2 linked regions of the Canis lupus familiaris genome follow. The protein of the gene in region 2 interacts with the protein of the main gene of each other region in a biochemical or structural test. Links are inferred from orthologs where the notes say so. Each region holds a gene or a part of one and is shown on either strand. Other genes may lie near its edges. The genes, in order: BRAF and IQGAP1.

What was found.
Region 1: the proteins of IQGAP1 (region 2) and BRAF form a complex in vitro, tested with the Homo sapiens proteins (2 studies listed by BioGRID and IntAct). The link is inferred for Canis lupus familiaris from reciprocal best matches to the Homo sapiens genes IQGAP1 and BRAF.

Annotation. Positions count from the first base shown.
Region 1 is NC_049237.1:8,076,680-8,084,786, reverse strand, and holds part of BRAF (serine/threonine-protein kinase B-raf), read right to left. Parts: intron 4,540-8,107; coding exon 4,493-4,539; intron 3,678-4,492; coding exon 3,559-3,677; intron 329-3,558; coding exon of another isoform or gene 215-328; exon of another isoform or gene 198-214; intron 1-197. UniProt on the Homo sapiens protein: Protein kinase involved in the transduction of mitogenic signals from the cell membrane to the nucleus. Phosphorylates MAP2K1, and thereby activates the MAP kinase signal transduction pathway. Phosphorylates PFKFB2.
Region 2 is NC_049224.1:54,213,415-54,221,521, forward strand, and holds part of IQGAP1 (ras GTPase-activating-like protein IQGAP1), read right to left. Parts: intron 5,889-8,107; coding exon 5,725-5,888; intron 4,475-5,724; coding exon 4,390-4,474; intron 3,693-4,389; coding exon 3,529-3,692; intron 3,319-3,528; coding exon 3,158-3,318; intron 1,906-3,157; coding exon 1,781-1,905; intron 1-1,780. UniProt on the Homo sapiens protein: Plays a crucial role in regulating the dynamics and assembly of the actin cytoskeleton.

The sequences.
Region 1 (8,107 bases), on a different chromosome or scaffold from region 2:
AAAAGAAAAATATTCTTGTTTATTCTTCAACTAAAAAGACTGAAAAGCAAATGATTACAATTCCCAGAACAATGCTTTCGTCATTAAATAATCCATCTAATTAATATGCAATCAATTCTCTTATTAAGGGGCAAAGAAATAAAACTGATTAATAAGAAAAAAAAATGCTCAGTAAGCCCTGAAAGAGGCAGTATTACCTGAGATTCCACATGTATTATGAAGATTTTATAATTTTATCAGCCATCCTCTTTCTGTACAAAATACTGCCATTGCTATTTGAATCCTTCCCAGGATTAGCTCTATCAAGAATCAATTCCAATTTCCATTCCTGATTCAGTAAAGAAATAAAAGACCTGCAGTCCTAAAATGTTTGGAAGTAGCATAACCACTACGCTAATAATTGCCTTAGAGTTTAAGTTTTCCCATTAGTACAATGATTCTCGCCTCAGGGCACCTTAGACAATACTGGTAAAACATCGACACTGACAAACTCAAACCCCTTTCCTGCCTCCAAAAGCATTATCAATATGCCATGGGTGCTTTATTAACAGAACCAAGAGATAGGAGGTCAATTTAGAAGATGGCATAAAGAATGCTGGCTGTTTGCTTCCTGGGCAAAGATACAGACCAAATCATATTTGCTACATTTTTTACACATTTTACTCATTGTACTCTACCACTTAATTTCTTAATTGGCTGTGTTCATGAAATACAATAAATGGTTGGTTAAATATACGCTTAAAAGAGTTCTTTCCCTTGCATCTTCTGTACTGTTTCATTTGGAAGAATTGTTTCTAAAGACACTGCAGAGTGTAAATAAAAGTTCCATGAAAGCATTATTTTGATACCAAAACCTGAACTAACTGCATAAATGGCTGGAGGACCTGGGACAGGATTCCTGGTCACTGGTCTATCTCAAAAAGCAGGCAATGGCACTAAGCCTTACTTGCAAATCACAATCAACTGTGTAGACTTTTTAACCTCTCAATGTCCAGACTACATACCAGGCCAATAATATAACAACAGAATCTGGGGATGGGATCCAAACATTGCTGGTTTTTACAGCTCCCCAGATGATTTTAATGTCCAATTAAGGTTGAGAACCACTGACAGAAGACGTATGGGAGATCCTGATGAAGGATGGGAGGTGAAGGAGAAGATGGGGTCTGCTTACTTTTTTTGTCAAACATTTTATTGCTAGCTGCTTTTAGTAATACAGTACAAAATAAACCACATACAACTGTGATGTGATGAACAAGCTAGAATACTGAGAGGCTGGTTATGATATAGGCATAATTTTAAAAGCCAGAATACAATTTTGCGAGGGACAGAATAATAAATCAGTTGAGGAACTAACCATCTTTTTAAAACTTAGTTTTACCTCTACTGTTGTTGGAGATGGCTTGATGAAATTTATTTGGACAAGAAATGCATGATTGATCCTCAACTAATTTAGTGATTTAATCTGTAAAAATTTTCACAAAGGTTTCTTTCCCCTCTAAGATAAATAGAACAAGGTTGAGAAGAATTCAGAGAATTACATAATCTTAGTTCTGACCAAACTCTTCTCTACTAGTACACAGATGCTCCGCATTTGTTTCTGAAGGCAATTATCAACCCAAAAGGATTTTTTCAACACGTAAGTGTACTACTAGCTAATCTCTTATATGAAAGCTCAGCTTGATAGAATAAAGGATGAACCAATCTACCTATGTATCAACAAAAAATAAATTAGAATATAAAACTTTGGGTATAATAATCTAGGTTTTAGAAAAAGGACAAACCTGGAGTTTAACTGAGCATCTCCCCCACACTAGTTAAAATAGATACACCTTTAAAACATGTATTGTTTCTTTTTAATTTGAGGTTTTACAGTCTCACACTTAGTGTGTGCTAGCCTGCTGCATCCTAGAATCCACTGCTATCTTATAGCAAGGTGTGTGCCTTAAAGGTGCATGAGATCCCAATTACAATGACTAATAAGCCTCCTATTTATAAAATGATTTATTAAAACAATTAAAATATATTAAAGAAACAAACCTAGTTAGCTCTAATTACTGAATCTTAGGAACAAAAAAGGTGTTAGAAATCCACTAGTCCGACCAACATTAAAGATGGAGAGACATGGAGGTTAGGAAATGTGCAGGTTGAGAGTTAAACAGAGGACTATAGAGTACAGATCTCCTAGGTCCATTGTACCCCTTCCACCTTACCACTTGTCTTTACTCCAGTTATTTTTATAAGAAAGCATAGCTGAATTTAACCCTAAGTTTATTTGACTAATTCACATCTATCCTGGAATTCCCCTCTTGGAGGCTCTTACAGATAGTTCAGGGAATTTATGCAAACATGGCTTCAAGAGCCCCTGCAGCTTCTCTGTTTCCAGCAGAGTGTCCCAAAGCCTTAGTGCAGATTCAATTATTTAAAGCTTCAAATTGCACTACTGGTTAGGGACATCCGGCATTCAGCTGAGAGCAGCGGTTCTCAAACTTTTTGATCTCAAAACTCTTTTAGTCTTGAAAATTACTGAAGACCCCAAGGAACTTTTATGTGGATTATATCTATGGGTATTTCTCATATTTAAACATAACTGGGAAACTGTTAAAATATTTAGTAATTTCATAAGTAATAGCCATTAGATGTTAACAAAGATTACCCATTTTTAATGAAAAGTGTATTTTCAAATCCAAAAAAAAGTTCAGTGAGAAGAGTACTGCAATTCTTTTTGACTGGTTTAAGAGCAGCCAGCTATAGTCACATATTTTGGTTCTGGCATTCGATCTGTTGTGATGTGTTGTTCTGGTTCAAGACTATAAAGAAACATCTGGTCTCATACAGGGATGACCTTGGGGACTTCCAAAAGGGTATTAGGGCCCCTTTTGAGAACTGCTAGCTTAGAGGATGATTCCTATACCTGCCCTTTTCACAGCCTGCTGAAAGTAATGGCACAGAAGTTTTCATTCCCTTCTTTTACACAAAGCAGAAATAGGAATAAAGAAAAAGCAACAAAGAGCTATGCAGGGCAGCACATGGCTATGTTAAAATTCTTTTTTTTTTTTTTATGTCTTTTCTTTCCCAGCTGCCCCATAATTATGGGTTCTTTCTAGTCTAAAGGAAGTAACTTTCCAATTTAGGCTTAAATAACATCATGAAACAGCCTCTCTTAAAAGGAGTAGTTCTTTTAGTAAAACCTTAAGAAATACTGCAGATCGTACCTGCTGAAACTGCACACTTGTTTTTTTCTTTTTGAAACCGGGCACACAGAACATTTTGAACACAAAATATTTTAAAGAGACAATTCTGGATAAAATTTCAACAGTTGTTTATAAAATACTATTTTTTTGTTTGAAGTATACTGAAACTGATTTCATAATACTCTTTTTAAGGATAAAGAAAAAAGTTAAATTTTATTTACATAAAAAATAAGATCAACATTGACTTTTGTGAATACTGGGAATTATGAAAATACTAGTCGAAACCTTCAAAGATTTTCTAGTCACTCAGTAGCACCTCAGGGTCCAAAAATTTAATTAATGGAGAAATGGCCTCAATTCTTACCATCCACAAAATGGATCCAGACAACTGTTCAAACTGATGGGACCCACTCCATCGAGATTTCACTGTGGCTAGACCAAAATCACCTATTTTTACTGTGAGGTCTTCATGAAGAAAAATATCTGAGGTGTAGTAAGTAAAGGAAAACAATAGATCTCATTTTCCTAGCAAAGCAAGCATTACAAAAATGTTAGGTAAGAGATCTAATTTCTGTAATTCTATAATATGATTTTTTTGGTAAAATTGATATTTCTTTAAAAAGTATAGTACTTCATATTTCCTCTTAAAGTTAATGAATATGTTTTTAAAAATATGGTTCTATTTGGCATATGTGACCTGCTTCTAAGATTTTGGGGGCTTGAAATATGATGGGATGAGGTGAGATGCTTTCCAACCTATGTTTATGGGAAACCCTGAAATGTTCCCGTTAGATTTTAGTAACATGGACCCAGATATGCTTTAGCATTTAGGAAAGCTACAAAGGTTCTTCATTGGAATGAAGTTGGTTGACGGCTAGGATCTTGATCTGGGTTTATGGAAGAAGAAAAATTTTGTTTTTTCTCACCTCCTTGTTATGCAAGTTAGAACCTTCAGTTACATTTCAACTACTGCAGAGTAGCATCAGAGCACTGAAAGAAATGGGTAGATAGCTACCTGTTTTATGGGTGTTGACAGAATGTAAGCACACAATCATAAAAGAGTCCTACTATTATAAAGACTTGGTGGATTTTTTTTTTATAACACTCAAATGTTCAGAAACCAAAAGCATGTTGCAGCACCCTGCTTTATACTATGCTCTCATGCAAACCCATTTATTAATTCTCTTTACATTTTTTGAACTTAGCATGAAAACTGTTTTTACATAATGTGAAGACAAAATGCAGAAGAAAAAGTCAGGATGTTTTCAAACTTCGCAGACAAATTTCAGGAAGGATACTATTACTCTTGAGGTCTCTGTGGATGATTGACTTGGCGTGTAAGTAACTGAAAAACAAAACATCATTTCAACCTGAGTAGGGGTAAAGACTCTGGCCTCAAAATCTATAGAACATATTTAGGGATGTAAATAAAGACTTATTCAAAATCATGACACAATTGCAAACTGTACATTGTGATAACCTCTTTATGTAAGAAATCTTAAACTGTAAATGAATTTAGGATTATAGAAACATATTACTATTATGGTAGAGCCCAAATCTTGTATTCTATTAAAAGACTTTGCTTTATACTTTACTATTTACCAATACAAACCTTTCATTCCAGTCAAACCTATTTATCCATGTCCTTTAAATACACCCTGATATTTAATCCCACCTGTGATCAATACTTCCCTTCCAAACCCATCCCCAAATTAACTTTCATTCTATTCTCCACCTATTCATACCTATCCTTTAAGATTGAATATACATTCTATCTTCTGAATAAAGCTTTGCTATGACTAACTCAACCAAAAGTAATCTTTCACTGTTGAGTTATATCGTAATTACTGTAATAGCTTGATTCATGTATTCTTTTTCCTGTGCCTATGGTTCCCTTTTCAGAATGTAAACTCCACTAGAATATAAAATCTGATTGATAATTTTAAAAATTTTTTAAAAGATTTTTATTTATTTATTCATGAGAGACAGAGAGAGAGAGGCAGAGTCACAAGCCGAGGGAGAAGCAGGCTCCATGCAGGGAGCCCGACATGGGACTCGATCCCAGGCCCCCAGGATCAGGCCCCGGGTTGAAGGCGGCGCTAAACCGCTGAGCCATCCGGGCTGCCCCTGATTGTTAATTTTAAAGGTAGTATTATACATTCTTAAAATAACTTCTTAAAAATACGGAGCTTTATCACACATGTTAATCATTTAGTCTTAAAATTAGTTAATAATGGCCACAGTGAATAACTCCATTGTTGATTAGTTTAAAATAGCATATAAGAGAAAATAATGCAGAATAAAATAAAATTTCTAAACAAAAATAGTGAGGAGCAAACCTGCTACATAATATCCACAGTGCATCTATCTTATAGTCAATGGTAAGTTTAAATTACCTATGTGAGCCCTAAAAACTGGTTTAGTTGGGTTCACTGAGGGTAAGGGCTGTGCCTCCTTTATTTCTGTTTCAATCTCCAGTGCCTAGCACAGAGCCTGGCATGTGGTAAGTGTTCAACATGTCTGTTGAATCAACTACAACGAAATGCATATAATATCCTAGTCAAAGCTATTTTTCTTCATTTAAAACTGGAAAGAATAGATATATGAGACTTCTAAAATTTGACAATGACCATTAATTAGGAAGTAAATTTTGCTTTAAAGTGACACTTTCAAAGTCCAAATAGTATATAATCAAAATTATGTAATAAACACTGTTAAAAATTGAAGATTCATAACAATTAAACTTTATTTATGCTTTCTCTTCTTCATTTATACTTCCTCATTCTCCCAGAGATCAAGATTTTGAAGCTTTCTTCTCAGATAAAATTTTCATTTCAAATGATTTATACAAAGGAACCCCTTCTCCTCCAATTACTCTTACTTCTATGTTTATTTCCTCCATAGTATTTACCACACTCTTGTCCCACTACATCACATGGTCTCTCTTACATTGGAAGAAAATGTGATGTCTGTTATAGGTGTCATTTGCTTAAAAATTTTTCTGCAATGACACAGAATGATACAGATGGAGAACAGGAGCCTCAACCACAAGCTTTTTCAAGATAGGGAGACCTTGTCTCCACTAGAGAGGAAGGGTAACAAATGGTGATGCTGTTCAGTGGTGGAGCTTGGTGCTTTGGTCTGAGACCTGGTACTTAGTGCACATAATAGGTGTTAGTCTTTGACAAAAGATTCTGTCTCCTTTGAAATTAAAAACAACAAATAGGTGGTAGATATGAATATGTGGAGGCATGATGAAGTTATAAGGGAAGATAAAGGTGTTCTTGATGGTATCAATCTTTTCAACAAATCTGATACAAAGAAATATATCAAGAATAAGGTAGACAGAAATCAACTAGAGGGTGAGGAGAAAAAATTTCTCACCAGGAAAGTACTAGATAATTAGCAAGATATGAGTACAATTACTGAGCTAGTGATAGAACCCTACTGGAAGGTAGATAGCATAAATTTATTATAGGCTAAAGTTGTATACAGCTGCAACTTGAAATAGCACCACCTTATCCTTGTGTAATCTTATCTTTTATTGTTTACAAGCTGCTTTCTTAACTTCTATCTCATGTAATAATTCTCTTTCTGTAACATCTCTGCCACAAAACCAGTGAAAAGGCAGAAATCCAGGTCTATATAATGGATGGTTTGAAAAAAAAAAAAAAAGGTACTCAAATTCCCCAGATGGAAAAATGGAATGAGTATTATACCCCATATCTCTACATGATATAATGTTCCAGAGTAATTACTACTCTATATAATTCTACATAGGCTGACACTAAAACATAATTTCTAAGCAACAATGAGTTATAATCAAAGATGCCAAAAGACACATAACTGAGGGTATGGAAGGAAGGGAACAATAAGAAATTAACTCATATGATACAGAAGTATACCCATTATTTAAGGAAATTAAATAGGACCCCTTTCTTAACTTTTCTAAGATGTTAAAGAGAACCTTATAGATTTATAAAAGTAGCAGTAAGAAAAAACATGCTATAGGGATGCCTGGGTGGCTCAGCGGTTTGGCACCTGCCTTGGTCCCAAGGCATGACCCCAGAGTCCCGGGATCAAGTCACACGTCGGGCTCTCTGCATGGAGCCTGCTTCTCCCTCTGCCTATGTCTCTGTCTGTCTTTCCTGAATAAATAAATAAAATCTAAAAAAAAAAAAGAGAGAGAAAACATGCTATAAACCAAATGAATATATCCTCTCGATAGGTTTATCTTAGGAGTGTCTTTCCTTGAAAAACAAAAAAAAAAAAGTATCCACCTAGAGAATCATTTAATCTGAAAGCTGGGCAATCATCTAGTAAAATCTGTTCTCTCTGCTTCTTTCAAGGTATTATCCAATATTTAGCTTTCTTTTTTTTTAATATTTTATTTATTCACTTGACAAGGGAGATGGTGTGCGCACAAGCAAATGGAGTGGCAGGCAGAGGGTGCCTCACATGGAGGTTGATCCCAGGACCCTGGGATCATGACCTGAGTGGAAAGCAGAACCGCTTAATCCTCTGAACCAACTAGATGCCCCCAAGATTCAGCTTTTTAACATTCTTTTAAGAGCTTAATATGATGTCCCAAGAGTGAAGATAATACTCTAGATCTGATCTGATCAACATAAACTAGAGTAACTCTCATCTTAATTTTCTCCTTGAACACCTGAAACCATAAAACTCCTAGAAAAAAAAAAAACAGGGGTAGCAAGATCTTTTTTTTTTTTTTAAGATTTTATTTATTCATGAGAGACAGACAGAGAGAGAGAGAGAGAGAGAGAGACAGAGACAGAGACAGAGAGAGACAGAGAGAGGCAGTGACATAGGCAGGGGGAAAAGCAGGCTCCCTGTGGGAAGCCTGATGCGGGACTCAAGACCAAGACCCCAAGACCCTGAAGCCAAAGGCACTG
Region 2 (8,107 bases):
GGTTTTATTTTTAATTGTCCTAATGGAAAAATAAAGAGAATTTTGATGAAACTGGTTTTAATAGTATAGCTTTCAAGTACATCACAATGTGTAATCAAAACCACTTTTTAGGGATCCCTGGGTGGCGCAGCAGTTTGGCGCCTGCCTTTGGCCCAGGGCGCGATCCTAGAGACCCGGGATCGAATCCCACATCGGGCTCCCGGTGCATGGAGCCTGCTTCTCCCTCTGCCTGTGTCTCTGCCTCTCTCTCTCTCTCTCTGTGATTATCATAAATAAATAAAATCTTTAAACAAAAAAAAACTCTTTTTATTCACAAAAAAGAGTTTAAGGGATCATAAAAAGTCACCTGATTAAACTTTTTTTTTTAATTTTTTTTTTTTTAATTTAATTTATGATAGTCACAGAGAGAGAGAGAGGCAGAGACACAGGCAGAGGGAGAAGCAGGCTCCATGCACCGGGAGCCCGATGTGGGATTCGATCCCGGGTCTCCAGGATCGCGCCCTGGGCCAAAGGCAGGCGCCAAACCGCTGCGCCACCCAGGGATCCCTGATTAAACATTTTTATATAAGAAAAGATTAGGCTTAGAAATTTCTTCTTCGAGATCCCACTTCAAACAACTGGACAACAGCAGATCCAACCCCAGGGCTCCCCACCCTGAGGCAAGGCTCTTCTTGCTAAATCAATGGATATTTCTCACAGGAAATACAAACTAAAACTAGAAATGTCACTCCCCAAGTATCCCAGGCAGCTGTGCTATTTTTGTAAAGACTGTGGTATAATAAAGATGTGGCTAACTTTTGACCCCAGTTCTTGGGAAGGAGCCTCTAACCCCCATTAGAATTTCCTAAATAATTTGATTATCTGTTTATTATCCGATTATTCAGGCATGGCTTCTAGGACCACACCTGAATATATGCCACCCAGATGGGCCCCTGGGTAGTCTCAGGATGGGGTCTGATCATGCTGGAAAGACCAAGCATATGATCAGAATTCTGGGGGTTTGAGCAACATGATATTGTGATATCAGCCAACCCTACCTATCTCCAGGGAGAAGAGGTAGATAGGAAACGGAGTTCAATTACATGGCCAACAATCAATTCCTCACAGGTAATGAAGCCTCTTTAAAATCTCTGGTGACCCAAATCTCAGGAGAGCTGGTTGGGGTACACATCCTGAGGACACATAAGCTTGGTCTTTGGGACCTCACTATATTTGGGATCACCCTCTAGGTCTTCTCTTTTGGCCAGTCCTGATTTGTATCCTTTCTAATAAAACTATATTCTTCATAAATATAGCATTTCCTGAGTTCTTTAAGTCACTCTAGCAAATTATTGAATCTGAGGGGAGTGTTGAAGGAAATTCTGAATTTATAGCCAATTGTTCAGAAGTGTAGTGACCTGGGAACTCCTTAAAGCTTGTGGTTAGTGTCTCCAATGAGAGGAGTCTTATGGGAGGAGTCTTATGGAAGACTGAGCACTATACCCATGCAAGATGACCTAAATCCAGGTGGTGTTATAACTACTTGTTATAAAACATTTAAAAATAACAGATCGTGTTCAAGTTATCTCCTGAAAATGTTAGTCCTTATTACATACATATCTAATTGTAGCAGTTGCCTGATGTTTCAAAAACAATATCCAACCTCAGCTTTTTGTGACACACACACACACACACAAATTTTCAAGAATCTTTCTGGGAGTAATGTTTAGAGCCAGTTTATGGAATCACAGTACCTTTAACAGTTTCACTATCTGAGGGGATGGTTAAGTAGATTACTCACTCTCATGTTCCTCCTGCACCACCAGATTTACATGGTCCACACAAGCTTGGATGTCATTCCATGTAATAAATTCATTATTTTCTGCATGTGCCTGAGTTTTCAGTTTCATCAGTTCATCAAGATACCTACCCCATTCCCCCAACAAAGAAGATAATGAAATACAATAAAATCTTTAAAAAAAAAATCATTAAGCAAATCTTACTGAAAAGTATTGATTTTTTTTTTTTTGTCTTTTTCTTTTTTGTTGTTTTCAAACAGCATTAAGTATTTTATTATTACCTCCAATTTTTCTGGAATATAAATGCAATTGAAATTCAGTCATTCATTCATGCAAAGTATTGATTTAGACAAGGATTATCAACTTGGGTTAAAAATATTAGGTATGGGGATCCCTGGGTGGCGCAGCGGTTTAGCGCCTGCCTTTGGCCCAGGGCATGATCCTGGAGACCCGGGATCGAATCCCACGTCGGGCTCCCAGTACATGGAGCCTGCTTCTCCCTCTGCCTATGTCTCTGCCTCTCTCTCTCTCTCTCTCTCTCTCTCTGTGTGACTATCATAAATAAAAAAAAATTTTTTTTTTTTAGATATTATGTATGGGTAATGGGGAACTGGACACTTTGATGGTACAAAGGTGCAAAAAAAGTTTATGCTAAGGGAAAAACATAAATACACATAAGAGGGATAAGCTTTCTCCCGGATTCAAGAATCAATCTTAGTATCTTTAATGGTGACACAAGTCAATTTCATATGCCTCTAGTTATGAGAAAATATGAAATACACAACACCAAAAATGCTGACTTGATCTTGACAAGCCTTTACACCTAATTTCTAATTTACAAAAATAAGCCAAATCTCAGGAAGCAACCAGAACCAGAAGATGGAACATTTTAGAACAACTGGTCCTATCTCTTTAACAAGTCAATATCATGAAGAAAGGAACAATGCTAGATTAAGAGATACCTAAAGGGTACAATAGCCAGGTGTAACACATAGTCCTGCACTGGACCCTGGTTTGAAGAAATCAGGTGAAAAGGACAGTTTCGAAACTAGTGAAGAAGTATGAAAATGGACTAGGGTCTGCACATATTAAAGAAGAACTATTGATTTTGCCAGGGTTTGTACTATGAGATTGTACTATTTTGGCTACCTAATAAATATCCTCACTGTTTTAGATAAGCATACTTACATATTGAGGGGTGGAATGTCATGATATATGTAATTTATTATAAATCCTCCAGCATAATAAAGAATAAAATGAATCAGAATAGGGGGGAAAAAAGCATCATACTAAAGTCACAATGCCTGAAAACAGGAGTGTGGACACCCAACAGAGTAAAAGCTGTCCAATGGATTCCATCTACCACTCTGGGGACCCACCTCTGACAGTTTTCTTCTTCGATATTGGTAAGGCCTGTCACAGAACTGCTCAACTGTTTCCACACTGTGTTCATGTCCCCTGACTCCAGTGCCCTGTTGATTAGGGCCACAGATGACAACATCTCCACGGCAACAGATAGCTCAGGATGGGTGAGGCTATGCTGCACAGAAAGGAGAGGAAAAAAAAGATGAGGACATTCCGGGATACCAAGTGAGGTCAGGACTTCAGTTAAGCCATAAGAAGTCTAAGTTTCTGTTTTTTTGTTTGTTTGTTTTTTTAAAAAAGGCTCTGCCAAGCACACCAAGAAGTAGGTGTTGAGTTCACTTCTGCCCCATTTTGGTCACAAACAGGAGAGGTTCAGCTGACTTACTTCAGGACTCTGTTGCTGCAGGGTAGCCAGCTCTTTCTGATAAAGATCAGCAGCAAAGGGATACACCTGGGGCAGCTGGGCCTCAGGATTCATGAGCTCCAGAACAGTCTTCTCAGCAACACCCTTCTGGATAGCAGCATTGATTGCCGCCACAGCTGCCAACCCTGCACAGAACACAGGTCAGAAATGCAGCTGGCTTGGGAAGCCCTGAGAGGAAAGAGATTCAGTTTTCACAGAAGAAAGTTCTATTCTGCAGATAAACTATAAGCCATGATGTTTGAAGTGGAACTTTCATCTTTAAAAAAAACAGCCTCCCTCTTTGTATGAAGATGAACTGCAGGCTATGCCAACTATATCCCAATAAAGCTATTTTCCACTCCAATTCATCCTGCGACTCTTTCTAAAGCATCTCTCCCATCCCATGTAGCCTGGCGAATCAAGTACCAGCTTCTTAAGCTGCCACAATCTTTCCAAGGGTTTATCTTACACAGCTCAACCCCGAATATCTACAAATATTGTATTCTAACCGCTGTTGCTTCAAAACATCTTTGACCTTTGGCACCTCTGCTCACACCTCCTTTCCTCCCTGCTCAGGTTAGGAACATCCTTCTCTCTCTGCCACCACCCAGATCTTACCAATCAAGCCCTAAGACTCTGCTCCAATGACCAAGTGCTTGCTAGCCAGAGTAAGCCCACACTGACTCCAGTTCTACTCTAAAACTAGGGTAGGGCACCTCTAGTGGCACCTGCTGGTCGATTGTGGCTAGCAGGCTTGGGGTGGGGGTGAGAAGTGACAGGATCTGACCTCAGATGCCCTAGCGACATTAACCCCACACAGTATCTCAGGGAGAGGACTCTTACTTCTTTGATACTGTTGGGCAGTAATGTTTGCAGCATCCACTCCAGACTGGAGCTCCTCCTTCTGCAGGGGATCAGCCTGACCACCCTGAGAAAAGCAAAGAACATTTATGTAAAGATTCTCATGGCTATGCCTCCAGGCCTTACAGTTGTATCTCAATAGCAGTCACAGGGACAAAGTTCGGCCCTAAGTGGATGTGTCAGGCTGCATCAGAGAAAGTGGTAGTCCTAGTGGGAACCAATGCCCTCACCAAATCTGGGGTAGAGGACTTTCCAGATACTAGCACATAAAAAAAAAAAGTTTGTAAGAAGCATCAAAATACTGACGTAAGGGCAGCCCCGGTGGCGCAGCGGTTTAGCGCCGCCTGCAGCCCGGGGCGTGAGCCTGGAGACCCGGGATCGAGTCCCACGTCGGGCTCCCTGCATGGAGCCTGCTTCTCCCTCTGCCTGTGTCTCTGCCTCTCTCTCTAGCTGTGTGAATAAATATGAATAAATAAAAAAAATATAAAAAAAATAAAAAAATAAAAAAAATAAAAAAATATGAATAAATAAATAAAATCTTAAAAAAAAATACTGACATAAGATGTTTACAGCCTCATTAGCACATTAATACTGTTTGCTTTGGCCATAGATACTGGGAATCTGCAAAATGTGCACTTGATGGGCCTTGTTCAGACAAAAAAGAAAGCCATTTGTGTTTGTTCTACCAGCCCCACTAAGTACAATTACACAGTCTGCTCTTACTGCACATTAGTTAAGTACTTTCCCAGTGCTGGCCAGAGGAAACTAGTGATGTGTGTTTTTATGTAGGAAATTCCTGAAGTAAGAATGTAGGAGAGATTCAGGTTTTCCCCCAGGGCTTTTCATTGGAGGGTTAAAAAGGATGCTTCAAGTGAAGGGGTAGTCAGGTTTGGAGGGCAGGTAGTATTTATGTTTAAGAGGGTTTACAGGGACGTCTGGGTGGCTCAGTGGTTGAGTGTCTGCCTTTGGCTCAGGCGTGATCCCGGGGCCCTGGGATCAGGGCCCTGAGATCGAGTCCCACCTGCATCAGGCTCCCTGCAGGAAGCCTGCTTCTCCCTCTGCTTGTGTCTCTCATGAATAAATAAAATCTTAAAAAAAAAAGGTTTACAGCTATAAAAGCAAACAAAAGCTAAAGACAATCTGTATTTTACCTGAGGATATTATAAAAACCTACATTAAGATGCAGAAAGTTATGCTAAAAACTATAGGTTATACTGTAACTATAGGGAAAAGAGATCCCACAAATATGTTTCAGCAAGAACACAAGATTCAAACAGCTGTATGTGAATGCCTGCCAGCCTGACCCACGATCCTCACCTGTCTCTTGTGCTGTCTGTCACTCAGGAGCTGCTTGAGGTACCAGTCCCCGTTTTGCTGCTGCAGCCCTCGAAGGCCCAGGGCTGGTGACTGCAGTGCCCGGAACAAGGCAGGTGCCACACCCTGCTCCAAAGCCAGGTCCACATTTGCTAATGCAGAAGACGCTGAGGAGGGGGAAAGGCCGCAGCTTATGAAGACGTTTTGTGAACATCACAGCTTACATCACTTTCCTTCCCCTAAACCAACCTCAATTTCAGAAGAGCGAAATATAGCTCAGATGGCCTTTGTTCTGGAATATCCCAGAAGCACAAGATCTTGGAATTGGAAGAGAACCTTAAACTGCTCAAGTTCAGGGGTCCCCAACTGGACTGTTTGTCAGTTAACAGATTCCTGGAGCATGCCTCAGACCTACTGAAAAGCTTTCAGATACAGACACCTTAGCACTATGGGGCTAGCAATATGAGGCACCAGTCAAAACCAACACATGTCTAAATTCCCTCTAAATGCCAAGCTGTTGTCTAGATAAAACTACTGAACAGGAGAAGGTTTCTCCCACAGCAATCTGTGAAAGTTTTCACCCTGGTGTTGACGCCTGGATACATCAATCCCTCTTTCCCTCAGTCTACCCCAGATTAAGGAACTTTCATTCCTTCTTAACAGCATCAGTCTGAATCCCTTCATTATCCAGCTGTCTCCTGAACACACTCTACTAGGACAGTGAGTGCCCAGATAGCGAGGGTGGTCTGAGCGCAGGGATTGGTAGAGGCGATTAATACCCTCAATCCTCTCTACCTCTAGTCACTTGAAGTCACACAAGGTCTTTAACATCTGGCAATGAAAACCTAGATGCTCCTTCATCTGAAAGTAATAAAGACACCTTCTTCACAGTGTTGTTAAGATTAAACAAAATTACGTATGTGAAAGCACTTTTTATGTTGTAAAATAAATAAGGAATTAGGCTGGCAGTCAGAATAAGGTATTTTCTGACTTCAAAAATAATAGCCACTGGGAAGCGATCCTTACCGTATGATTTTGTTTCCCTATTTTTAGAAAACAAGAATTCTCCCTCCATGCTCCATTCAGGGATGAACATCTGATTTTTATCACCAAAGTAGCAAAACAAATCAATAACAACATACCAAAAATCAAAGTATTTGGGGTATAGCAGCACTTAAAATTTTTAAATGTTTTAATGTTTTCATTAGTAAAAAAAAAAAAAATGAATACAAGGTGTTAAAGGAAAAATTTTAAATCTCTATGGATTTGTAGACTCAGTGTAGACTCCTAAGAGACTACTCACTCCTTCCCAACGATTATACCTGCAATTCTGCTAACTCATCACCACACCAAGGTGATGGCTACTCCTCCATGTGATCCTTAGCCAACTAACTATCCATTCCTTCAACAGCATTTACTGAGCACCTGCTTTGTGCTGCAAATACAGCTATGAACAAAACAAATGATCTCTGTCTTGGTGAAGATTTTATAGGAGTGGGGACAGAAAATACAATCAACACAGGTTAACAACCAGGCTTTCTCTAGGTATGTGATGCAGAATCTCAGATTATCTATCTACAAAAGCATCTAGTCAATTATGCTTTTACTTTAAAGCATACTTACTACATAAATATGTAAATATTTAAAAAAACATTTACTAACATTCACACTATAAAGATGATAAAGGTTAGAACACTATTTAAATACTTTCTTCCATTAGGCTTTAATTAATTTTCCTTGTTCTACTAAGAAAGTAAATAAAAACTTTTTCTCATTTTGAACTATTTGACCTGCAGCTTTCTCCTGGGGCAGTGGCTTCAATGCCGGTTCTCAAGCCCTCACAGAAAGAATCTTATCTATAATTATGTTAAGATAATTCCTGGGACCTAAAGCTCTTGTATCTTGCTAGCACACAACTTTCTCTTGCCTAGACTTGCTCTACGATTAGGAAACAATTGTTCCTCTTTGGGGAATCCTGCCTTATCCTCACCTTATCTATCCAGTGAAGGTTCTTACACAAACCTCCAAGCTGTCATCACTCCTTTCTTTTTCTGTGACTGTACTTCATATGTCTTTGATACCTTCTAAGTAAGTTGCCCTAAAATTACTCACTTGCATGTCTATCTTCCCTACTATGTTGAAAGCTATTTGAGGGAATTTTGAGGGAATTTTTTTTAAAGATGTATTTATTTATCTGAGAGAAAGAGAGAGAGAGAGAGAGAGAGAGTGGAGGGGGAAGGGCAGAGGGAGAAGGAGAGAAAGAATCCCAAGCACGACACAGGTTTTGATCTCACTGCCCGAGTTCATAACCTGAGCTGAAATCAAGAGTGGGACATTTAACCAAGTGAGCACCCAGGGGCCCCTAAATGGAACACTTCAAAAATGT